Linked DNA regions of Notamacropus eugenii. The protein of the gene in region 3 interacts with the protein of the main gene of each other region in a pairwise test. Links are inferred from orthologs where the notes say so. Each region holds a gene or a part of one and is shown on either strand. Other genes may lie near its edges.

Region 1 (3,745 bases), on a different chromosome or scaffold from region 3:
GTGAAGAGTCTCAGCTCTAAGAAACTGACTCTATGACCTTGGGAAAGTCGTTCACCCTCTTTGGGTCTCAGTTTCCTCCACTGTAGTTCTCCACTGTTACATTCTATAGTTCTCTGCATTCGTGAGAATGCCAGAAAGCTTTAGGCATCCTCATGACCTTGGGGCTTACCTGAAGCCCTCTGGGGGATAAAGGCCCCTGAACCAATCATGGGTCCTTTAAAAGGCCTGATTTGAACTGATCTCAGTCAAAGGCCGTCTTCCAGGTCTCCTAACCCTCTTACCTCATGAAATCTTTTTTAACACTTCTCTGATAGATCTCACCTTCATTACTACCACACAATTCACTGTCCTTCCTCCCCACCCTACCTTTCAAGTCCAACCATCAAATCATTTTCGTCCCTCCAGCCCTGCTTCTTTAGCAGTCAAGCCTAGGGGGAAAGGAGATGTCCTTGTCCCTCTCGCCAAACAGCTGCACGTCCCCGCTTCAGCGGCTAATTAGCCGGAGCCGTAACCACGGTAACTGCAGCTGGCCGCTTGCCCCGGGCCGTTCTCCTTAGAGCCCCACCCCTTTCTCCCTCTTTGCCCCCACCCCCGGGCTCCCATTGCGGCCTCGGGGAAAGGTTACCCCTTCCCCACTGCTCCACAGCTGGAGCTCGGAACTCGCAGCTGCTCCCACTGCTGGAGGCTAAAGACAAGGCAAGGCAGATACCCGAGTGGGTCCTCTGTGGGTGCCAGGAGCTTTCCTGCCCCGCCCATATCGCACCACGCCCCACCCCAGGCCAGTCTCACCCAGACTGGGCAAACCCACAGTCTTCTTGCGGTAACCAGGGCCTCTCACCCTGAGCTATCCTTCTCACCCCGACATTATCCCGCATCCCCCCTCTCCGTCCAGTGCGGCGCTCCCACTGCCCTTCCACGTCGGCTTCGCCCCAGCCTCAGTAGCCTCTGCTGGTCTCCACCAAACGCTCCCGGGCAGCTCGAGAGCCCGCGCAAACAGGTTGCCTCTTTGAAACCTTTTATCCCCAAACTGCCAGTATCTCCCCTCTCTCCCTCCTCCCCCGTTCTTTTGGCAAGTTTCTTGCGCGCGGGGCTGAGCGCCAGCCCCAGGGCAACACGAGGAGCCGGCGGGGCGCAGCTGGCAGACTCAGGGCTAGCCGTCCTGGTCCTCACCCAGTCGGCCCCAAGCTGCCAATGCCATCCCCGCCCGGCCCCGGCCCCGGCCCGGCCCGGACACGTCCCTCCTGCCACGGCCCTACCTGTATATACGCCATTTTCACTCGCTCTCACTCCAGCCCGGGCATGGCGCTGCTACATCCACTTTGCCCTCCGCCACAAGGGAGGTGAAGAAAGGAAAAGCAGGGGGGGAGGAAAAAAAACCAACCCAATGGCCCCAGACGTGACTTGCTTGGCTGATCAGTGGCGCCCATGCCCTCCGCTCGGCTGGCCGCCCCGTCTCTTCCTCTTCATGGTCCTGCCCCCGGGCTCTCGGACCTGGGTGGGTGCCCTAGAGGCGGAGAGAGAGCCCAGAGGAGGGGGCCGCCTGACCCGCGCCCCAGCAGCGCCCTACTCCCTCCTCTCTCTCCCCCGCCCCCCCGGGCGCTTCTGCCTTCTTCCTCTCCCTGCGTTCTGGTCTCGGCCGCCAGCGGCGCCAGGAGCATCAGGCGCCTTCTGGCCTCTGACCGGCTCCCTCCCGGGGGCTCCCAGCCAGCCACGCAGAGGGCCCCGAGCTTGGGCCCCCCTGATAACTAAGACCAGGGCAGCCCCGGGGTCACCGGGCACCCAAGCTCAAGGCTCCACAACGGGTGCCATCTGAAGACAGAAGGAGCAGAACTTTGGGGTGGGGATAGGGAAAGAGGACGGAGAAGGGAATATTCCGGGCGGGGGCGAGCGGGGGAGGGTTAGTGATGCCCAGGGTGTCCTAGGAGCCTGCACCTGTCGCGGAGCCTAACAGAAACCCGGCCTCGTCGGTGCTGCCTAGGAATTGTCTAAGTGACATTTAGGGGCTGTGGCCCCAAAGTGATGAATTCGCTCAGTTCCCCTCTCCCCGACCTTGAGGAATAAAAACTTTCGTCTCCTCTGCATTCATCTGAAACCTCTTAGAGTCTGGAGGACCCAGGAGGGGTGACAGAAGGACTGCGAGGCGCTAAAGTGCCAGATGGCACGGAGAGGTCACCGAGAGGAAAGCTTCAGAGCAGGAGTGATGGGAGGGACCAAAAGTCGCAAGGGAAAAGGAAAGGCTGTGGGCCCCGCCAGGGCCCCAAAGTGACTGGCGCTCCCCAAGTCCAAAAGAGTTGGTGTTCCCAGGGCGCAACAGGTTGGGTGCAAAGAGGTCCAACAGCGCCACCCAACGGGCGCAACGCTACACGGCTTCAGAAAGGAGCGGCCAGCCTTTAGCCTGAGCCGCCGCAGGGAGAGTGATAAGAAGTTACAAAGTAACCCCGGGCCCATTGTGCCTCGGAGGAGCCCTAGGCAGCGTGGGAAAAGATGGAGAGGGAGGGTAGATCTTTGAAAGGTGGGTCAAGGTGAGGCAATATAGAAGCTGGCCACAGCAAAAATGGGGGCAAAAGTGCGAGGATGCCCACTGTGCCACTTCCTACCCACCCCCATTAAATGTATGTGTGTACGTAGGTGTGTGTGTCCCAGCCAGAGGTCAATGTCTGAAATTTCATCTTTAGCAATTTAGTTTGTTGCTTTATTTTGGATTCCAGATTGGTCTCACCCAATATCTCTTTTAAACTGCGCCTAGTGCAAAGCCACTAATATCTTAAATTAGTTTTCCCAAACTAATTTCTTCACAAACCACTTTGGTGCTTGAAATATATTGATGAAACCCCAAATGCTATTCTAGAGGTGTGATTGGGCATAGAGAAAATTGAGTCTGTTTTTATTCTCCAAACTACTGCACATAATGCTTATTTTTATATATACATTATTTCACAGTTTAGAGGGGGAAATTTCATTAGTATTGAAGTTTTCTCACATAAACATTATTAGCGTCCTGTGGAACAACTAGGATTCTATGAAAGACGATTTGGGAAATGCTACCATTATTAAGAAAATTGGTTTAGCATCTCGGGCTAGAAGAGCCTGGGGGGAGGGGGCAGGGAGTCGAAGAATCCCTGGCGCTTGCTCATGAGAATGTTAGAAAGGTGAGACAAATGCCCAATTCACAGTTTTGCTTGGGGCTTATTCTCTATGTACTTGGGGTGAGGAGATAGGAATATGACTGCACCCTGGAGTTCTTGATAACAGATAGAAGTGAGGTTAATTCTAAACAGAATTGTGAAATAAATTGTTTATCTTTGGGATTGCCCAGTCTCCTGTCTCTCCCCTGGAACATCCCCATCAGGCCATGTAGCATTCTCCTCTTTTGATCTCCTGTGAGAGCATCTCTCTAGGCAGAGCATGCCATATTCACAGACTCTAGAAGATAAGAGGAAACTTTCTCCACTCCAGCCTGCTCCACCTTCATAGTGCCTGTGTGTCTCCCTTGGGATGATTCAGTTCCCTGGTCAACTCCGTGATTGCTGGGTCTCAGCCTGAACCCAACATATAATCACAAAAGCCAACCATTATGCACACTCTTCACTTCCAGTTAGTTCTCTGTCCTGCTCCACCTCCATACTGGCTGCCTACCTCTTCCTCATTCCCCTCCATTTGGATACTTTCCTCTCATTTTCCCTTTTCAGCTCTTCTTTATGTTTTGTCTTCCTCTTTTAGAATGTAGGCTTCTTAAGAATAGGGA
Region 2 (3,745 bases), on a different chromosome or scaffold from region 3:
TTCTACCAACAAAATGTATGTGACTCAAAAAGGTAATTAAAGCTGGATATTCTTACATTAACATTTCATTCTCAATCGAGACACTTGCCTATCATCTCAATTTGATCTCAAAGGGTAAATTAGGACAGGACATGAGAGAGTTTGCAAAAACAAAAAACCCAAAGAGGTTATCGAATGCATAAAGGTAGCCATTAAAAATTTGTAATAAGCAAAAGAAATTTCATTCTGCTTGGATTCATTTCTAATTCTTAAGAATGTATATTTAAAGGTGAAAAAAATCCATCCCCATTCCCCAACTACAATCTTAATCCTTTGGGCTAGTCATTTTATCAAAATTAAGGCATCTGGCACACTAATTTTTACCTGAATGGACTCAAGCTACTGTCATTTAAAAAAAAAATCTACTTAGTTTACAATGAATTTAAAGTTCCATTACAAAATTACATTACAAGAAATAAACTGTCTTTTCTGAGAAGGCAACATTCTAATCTTGCTTAGGAATGGAAAACTACTTATTAGATTTATAAAACTGATTTTAGATAATTTTAGATAATAAGATAATAGATAATAAGGCCAATAAATGAGCTTTCCAAATCACCAAACTGAGAACAAAATGAGCTCTTAAGTTTGGAACTGCAAAGACACAAAAGGCAGAAAAATATGTATTTACACACACACTGACATCATACCCATCCTTAACTTCTTTCCCAAAGCATATCATAATCAAATATACATATTATAAACAAAAGATGTTTCTTACCAATATTTCTTGGTAATGTAGAAAAAAATTATTTCATTTTAACTATAGACTTCTAGACTTAATGATTCCCTGGACAGGGACTAAATTACCGCTCAAGGCAAGTTATGTTTAACACTTGTGCTGTTCTGGCAGTATACGAAAGGTAAGAGATACCAAGTGTTGATTGAGCAACTGACTGCTTAGTGAAAAAGCCTCACAGCTGGGAGAAGAAAACAGCTGGGAACTAACAGGGTGAAAAAGGAAAGTTTGTTCTCAAAGATCCTTTTCATCCCTTTAGAGAGGGTTTAACTTTTCCAATTCACATGGGGGATAAACTATGAGCAATGAAAGCTTAACAGTCTGACCACGCTGGTTAGGTTTAATCAGCAAAGGGCACAAATCAAAACATGGTTAAATTTTCCACCACTTAAAGGGAGAAAAAAGCTCTTTTCCATTTCCGTAAGTAATGCACTACATTTTTAGTCCCAACCCATGCATGTGTAAACATCAAAGCTTCCGTTTAATCCCAGATTCCTCCGATACCTATCCCTTAACGATGCTTGGCATTTGTAAGAGATTTCAAGATGATGAGCACCTGCCTCCTTGGAATCCAAATAATGGTTTTCAGCTTACGTGAAGTGAAATGTCACTGTCCTCACTTGCAGTTCAAGTCCCTTATCCTAGTCTATAGGCCATGACTACACCTCGTGAATAAAGCCTGTATGTGTAAACTGACAGTGACAGCAAAAATAATGTTAATAGGAGAGTCTCGTTTTTCGGGGGGCTCCTGGCAGACCTGCCAACCTAACTAGACCAACGTCAATGGGCCAGAGTCACAGCCAGGGAAACCTTCCCCCCAGTTTTCAGTAAATCCATTTTCACATCTGCCTCCAGCCTTTCTGCAGCGACTTCAGGCCGTTTCCTCTTGCTGTCTGGCCCGGGGGAGGCAGAGCGGATGGCGTGACAACCCCCGAGGCGTCGCACACGGCTACTAAGTTACTGCTCTGCGAGTCTCCAGGAGTAACAAAGTATCCAGCAGAGGCAAGGCGGCCGCGGAGGGCGCGTTCTGCGGGTCGGGAACATCCCCGCACGCGAGCCGCTCCAACCGGCGATTCCTGCGGCGCCCGTCCCACCCGGGCCGATGCCCCCGCCCGGAGCAGGTCGTGGAGTCGGTTCAACCACCACCGGCGTCTCTACCAGCATTTCCTGCCTGCGTGCCCCGAGGCACGAACCGCAAGCTGGGAAAGCCTCCCCGGAGGCCGTGTCTGCACGCACAGGACCAGCACACGGCACCGCAGGGTCGGGACCTGCCCTGCAACTTACGGTCTCGGGGAGTCGCGAGGGCCTCAGGGATTAAGGGACTTGCCCGGGGTGTCGGAAGCGGGACTCGAACCCGGGTTCTCTCGCACTAAGGATGCGGCCCCGCGCGCCTCCCCCGGGGTCCCCAGTCCCAGACCCGCAGCGGGGGGCGCGCCCCCCCCACCGTCCCAGGGCCATTCCCACGCCGGCGCCCCCGGCCACACCTCCCGCAGCCCGGGTTCCCTCACCTGCCGCAGGCCGGCCCCCGCTTCCCTCCCCAGCCCCGGCTTCTCGTGGCGAGCCGCCGCGGACCCAGGCCGCGGATCTGCCTCGGCGTCCGTACCCAAGGCCGAGCCGACAGGCAGGGCGGGGGGGAGGGGCCGCCTCCGGGGGTGGAGCGCGCAGCCGTGCGGGCCGGACCGCGCTCCGCTCGGCGCCCAACAGTCCCGGGCCGCCGGGCCGCGCCGCTTCCGGGGGCGGGGCCGAGGGCGGGGCCGCGCTGGGCGGGGCGTCACGTGAGGCGGAAGTCCGCGTGGGGTGGCCGTCGTCTCCATAACTACGGAGACTGCGGCGGGATGCTCCTGGATCCCGGGCCGTTGGAGCCCTGCCGCTGGCGCGAGGGAGAGACTGGCGAGCTTGGCCTCCCCGGCCGCGTGGGAGCATCAGAGTGACCGGCCGTCTGACCGGACTCTGGGGTGAGGCTGGGGCAGCGGCCCGGGATGGCCCGTGCGGACTGCCCGCAGCTGGCCGCCAAGTCGCTCAGTCTAGCCCTAGGTCTAAGCCCCAGGAGGCCTCGGCCTGTCCCCGAAGTGAGCGCCCCGCGCTCCTGCCGTCCCCCCCAAACCACCCATCCCCCCACGCTTGACAGGGAGTGTTGAAGAGATGCCCTGTGGGAGCAAGGTTCCGAGGTGTGATGCTGGAACGCCCCGCCTAGGTCTGGTCCACCCCCCCATCCAAGATCCAGCGGCAGGTGGCTGGAGCCCCGCGCCCCCCGCCCTGGCCCCGGGTCTGGCCCTTCCCGCTGCGCTCCGCCAGCTAAAAACGTGGCCGAGTTCCTGACTCCGCATTCAGATCTCCAGTCTGAAGTGACGGGCCAACCAGAGGACACAAAGGCACTGTGCGCCCCGCAATGTGCCACCGTACTTTGTGTGAAAGTGAAGAACTGGGAACCGAACACGTGCCGAACACGTGCTGAACTCTCGGCAGGTGCGGCTTCAGACGTCAGCGCTCACCTGAAACCAGCGGGCCGCTCTCCGTCCTCATTGTCTCCTTGACAGTCTCTCTGTGTCTCGGTGCTCTCGCCGTCTGAGTGCTCCATCTCCCTCTCATTTAGGGCAGGTCTGCTGACCATGAGTGTCCCTGAAGACTGCCCTAGGTCCTCCTCTTCTGGATGATTGGGCTTGATGATCTCAACTCCCGTGAATTTCCATGCAGATGTTTCTGGTATCTGTTTGTCCAGCCCTAACCTCTCTCCTGACCTCTAGTCTCTCATCTCCAACTCCCTATTAGGCATCTCTGACTAGAGATCTCAAATTCAGCAAGTCCAAAATCTTCCCCCAAACTCTCCTTCATTCTTCCTAACCCTTATTACTTACTGCCAAGAGTACCATCATTCTCCCAGTCACCCAAGCTTACAACCCTGAGGTTATCCTTTACTCCTCACTTGTCTCTCCTATTCAATCAGTTGCCAGGTCTGGGCATTTCTAC
Region 3 (3,745 bases):
ACACAGCTTTCATACCGATCTCTTCCTCCCTCCCCCAACACACACACCTTCCACCTCACAAATACACCCATCCACACACAAACCAAGGAAAGACACTCAAAAGAAGAGTAGAATGGGAGGGAAAGGATCAATGGGCTAGGTGGAGAGGGGAAAACTCTGGGTGAGTGGAAGAGTCCAAACATGGAACGACCTCAGAGGCTGTTGAGTTCAAATGCCTCATTTTACAGAGGGAGAAACTGAAACCTAGGCAGGGGAAGGGACTGGACCAAGGTCACACAGGTAATAAAGCATTAGAGTAAGAATTTAATCCCAGGTCCTCCATCTTGTGAAGGAATCGATACACTAATTCTGGAGTCAGAATACTTATATTCAAATCATACCTGTGATGCTATTTAAGACCTTGAGCAAGTCACTTCATCGATTTGGGTCTCAGTTGTAAAATGAAAGGGATATTGGAGATGAGCCCTGAGGCCCCTTTCAGTTTGAGATTAAGGATCCTGAGTGGAAACCCAATTTTCTGTCCTTTGAAGCAGACTGTTTCTTCAAGAATAAAGTTAAATTTCACAATATTGGGGCAAAAATGATTATCCCACTATATAAATGGGTATCCTAGAAAAGAAAGGTCTCAACAACTGCCCCGAGGTCACAAAGCAAAAATGGCATCCCAACTGGGATGAAATCTCTTATTTTCTCACCTTTCAGACCTGAATGACAACCTGGAAAACAGACTCCAGGTAACAAATCGGGGGCACTTTACATCATATTTTTCTAATAAACTAATTGGTCAGCCTGTGAGTCATGGAGGAGCCAATAACTGCTGATCCCCTTTGAAAATTTGCTAAGGAATCGGGCAGCAGAGGCTTAGGGTGGGAGAGGGAAAGGAAGCTTGAAGGCTGAAATCACCAGCTGCAGGAAAGACACTGCTCCTACCCCCCCCTCACCCCTACCCACACTCAGCCCCCGGCAGAGGGACAAAGCCATAAAAGAACCCTCCCTGGGCCAGTCACCCCTCCTCCATAGGGGAACACTGGGTAGAGGAAAAGGTGGAATAGGTAGTCTTCTCAGCTCAGCTGGGTCACCATTGGAATAAGAGCCAATAGAATGCATGCATGCATGCATGCATGCATACATACATACATACATACATAATCCCACTGCTTTCATATAGATCTTCCCCCCACCCCCCCAACACACACACCTTCCTCCTCACAAATACACCCATCCACACATGAACCAAGGAAAGACACTGAAAAGAGAAGGTAGAATGGGAGGGAAAGGATAAATGGGCTAGGTGGAGAGGGGAAAACTCTGGGTGAGTGGAAGAGCAAAAACTTCAGTCTCACAGAGGGCCATCCGCGGGAAATAGAGAAGGAAGGGCTCAAGTGGCCAGGCCCAAAGGGCCAGGCCCAGCCACTCCCGCCCCCCCTTCCACCCTGCCATCTTCAAGGTCCCCTTCCTGGCCAGCCACAGAGCGCCCCCCTTCCCCGGGCCGCCCCCCTAACCCCCCCTTCCTCCCCCAGCCAGTGCGCCATCGCCTGATGCTGGGATGGGCAGGGCAGGGCAGGGCCGGGACGGCAGGACAGGCAGAGCGGCCGGCAGGACAAGGTGCGGGGTAGGACTAGGCGGAAGAGTGAGGGGGGAACGTCAAGGCGAACGCGCCCAAGCAAGCCCCGAGGGGGCGTGCCCTCTGCCGGCCGCGTTGGCCACCCTAAGGAATGGAAGCAGGAGCCGGGCACAAGCGGGCACGCCGGGCGCACGCTGGCCTCCTTCCCTACCCTTCCCTCTGACTCGCCCGGCTGCCGCCACGGCCAAAGCTCCCGCCGCCGCCGCCGCCGCCCATCGGGGCGAAGTTGGGCAAGGGTGCCCCTGTCTCCAGGCGGGCCAGAGCGCCTTCCCAGCCGGCCGGCCGGCCGCCCACCCACGGGGCTCACCTGCAGGCGCTCCAGCGCCTCTCCTTGCCTTCCCCCCTTTGCCCATTCCCCGGGCGCCCCTAGCTCGCTTCCTTCCCTGCCAGGAGCCAGAGCAGGAGCGGGAGCGCTCCGCCAGCCCAGGGCGAGCCAGGGCGCGGAGAGCAGCCGGGCAGCGCAGAGCCGCCGCAAAGCGCCGAGAGCAGCCCGGCAGCTGGGCAGGGACCCAGCGACTGAGAGCGGCGGGCAGCCGCGGGCTCAGGCCCGGCCGGCCAGGGCGCTCCCCTACGTACCAGCTGATTCCAGCAGCCTGGCCTCCTCCGTCCTGTCATCTTGAAAGAAGAGACCCACTGAGCCGGGTGGAGGGAGAGGGAGCGTGCGGGTGTCTGTGCGCGCGCCCCGGCCCGGGGGAGGGCGGAGGAGAGCGTGCGTGCGCGCGCGCGCCTCTGCAGGCTTTGGAAAGACACAGTCCTGGACAGCCTCGGCAGCGTGCGAAATGCGGACGGAGGCAGAAATGTGTGCAAACTCCTTCCTGTTCCACCGTCCCCCCCATCCACCCCCGCCCCCCCCACTCTGTCGTTCCCTCCTCCTGATCCCCAGCCGCCCCGCCTGTTCCCAACGCAAACAGACCAACCACAACAGCCGGCGACACTTGTTGTCTGCCCAAGGAAAGGCCAGCTCTCCAGGGCCACCCACGTCCACAGACGAAGGCGCTCTACGCAAACCACCCCGGAGCAAAACAGAAATCAAGGACTGCGCAGACAGGGGCAAAGAATGGCAGGAAACCCAACCCAGCCCCGTCGTTATCTTTTCACAAAGGGAGAATGGTACTGAGTGGACTGTTGGCCCGGGGCCGAGCTGGTGGACAAGGAGCGGAGTCACACAAGGGCAATCGCTGTCTTCCACCATGAAACCAACCGAGCTGTTACCATGGGTACAACTGGGCAGGTGCAGCTAGATATTCTGGTGTAACAGGTGTCCAATACAGGCTGATAACAGCCAAGATCCCTGGCTCAGAGGACCTCTCCCCGCCACCCCCAAGTTCAAATACCACCCGGCACTACTTATGCAAGTCACTCTACCTCCTTGGGTCTCAGTTTCCTGTAAAATGGAGAAGAATGTGGAGGCAGTTGAAATAGATTGCCTCTGAGGTCCCTTCCAGATCTAAATCTATCTAAGCCTAAATCGGTGACCAGCCGTTCCCCATCTACCACAGTACTTGGGATGAGTCCTTTGTCCATCACCCAACACTCTATCCTTTACTGTTAGGAGTGGACTTCTCACCTCAATCCTGATTCTTACTCAATGCCACACCTGTGCTTTCCAAAGACAGCATCTTTCAGTCACTCAGACCTCAAGGCCATGGTTAAACAGTTTAATTACATTGGTAAAAAGTGTGGTCAACATCCAAGAAACAATGAGCACATATCATAAAATGTGCCAATCCACTCACCTACAAACTCTGATTCTCCAAGGCAAAGGGGAAAAAAAAATCCTCCCAGTCTGGACTCGATTTCCTCCCTCTTCAGCATCCCAAGGATAGTACAGGTCTGACTTCACAGCTTCCCAAGAATTGTTGTAGGGATATTCAAGGTTCCCTGGGTCATAGTTGCATAGACAAAGTCTTCTATCTACAATTTAAAGCCCTTCCAACTGTGGCCTCCTCCCACCTTTCCAATCTTTTTCACCTCCATGCATTGATCCAGCTACACCAGCCTCCTGACTATTCCATGCACATGAAATGCCACCTCCCAACTCCATGGAAGATGGTCTTTTGACTGGCCATCCCCCATTTCTTCAACAGTCTACCCCCAATCTCTGCCTCTTACCTTTCCTGG

The links.
Region 1: the proteins of MID2 (region 3) and SYT17 interact in binary tests that used the Homo sapiens proteins (3 or more experiments, as listed by UniProt). The two-hybrid records come from large-scale screens. The link is inferred for Notamacropus eugenii from reciprocal best matches to the Homo sapiens genes MID2 and SYT17.
Region 2: the proteins of MID2 (region 3) and SPG21 interact in binary tests that used the Homo sapiens proteins (3 or more experiments, as listed by UniProt). The two-hybrid records come from large-scale screens. The link is inferred for Notamacropus eugenii from reciprocal best matches to the Homo sapiens genes MID2 and SPG21.

What each region holds. Positions count from the first base shown.
Region 1 is NC_092874.1:400,151,315-400,155,059, reverse strand, and holds the start of SYT17 (synaptotagmin-17), read right to left. Parts: upstream 2,210-3,745; 5' UTR 1,272-2,209; coding exon 1,257-1,271; intron 1-1,256. UniProt on the Homo sapiens protein: Plays a role in dendrite formation by melanocytes.
Region 2 is NC_092872.1:127,366,877-127,370,621, forward strand, and holds the start of SPG21 (maspardin), read right to left. Parts: upstream 2,423-3,745; 5' UTR 2,287-2,422; intron 1-2,286. UniProt on the Homo sapiens protein: May play a role as a negative regulatory factor in CD4-dependent T-cell activation.
Region 3 is NC_092879.1:28,913,219-28,916,963, reverse strand, and holds the start of MID2 (probable E3 ubiquitin-protein ligase MID2), read right to left. Parts: upstream 2,308-3,745; 5' UTR 2,201-2,307; intron 1-2,200. UniProt on the Homo sapiens protein: E3 ubiquitin ligase that plays a role in microtubule stabilization. Mediates the 'Lys-48'-linked polyubiquitination of LRRK2 to drive its localization to microtubules and its proteasomal degradation in neurons.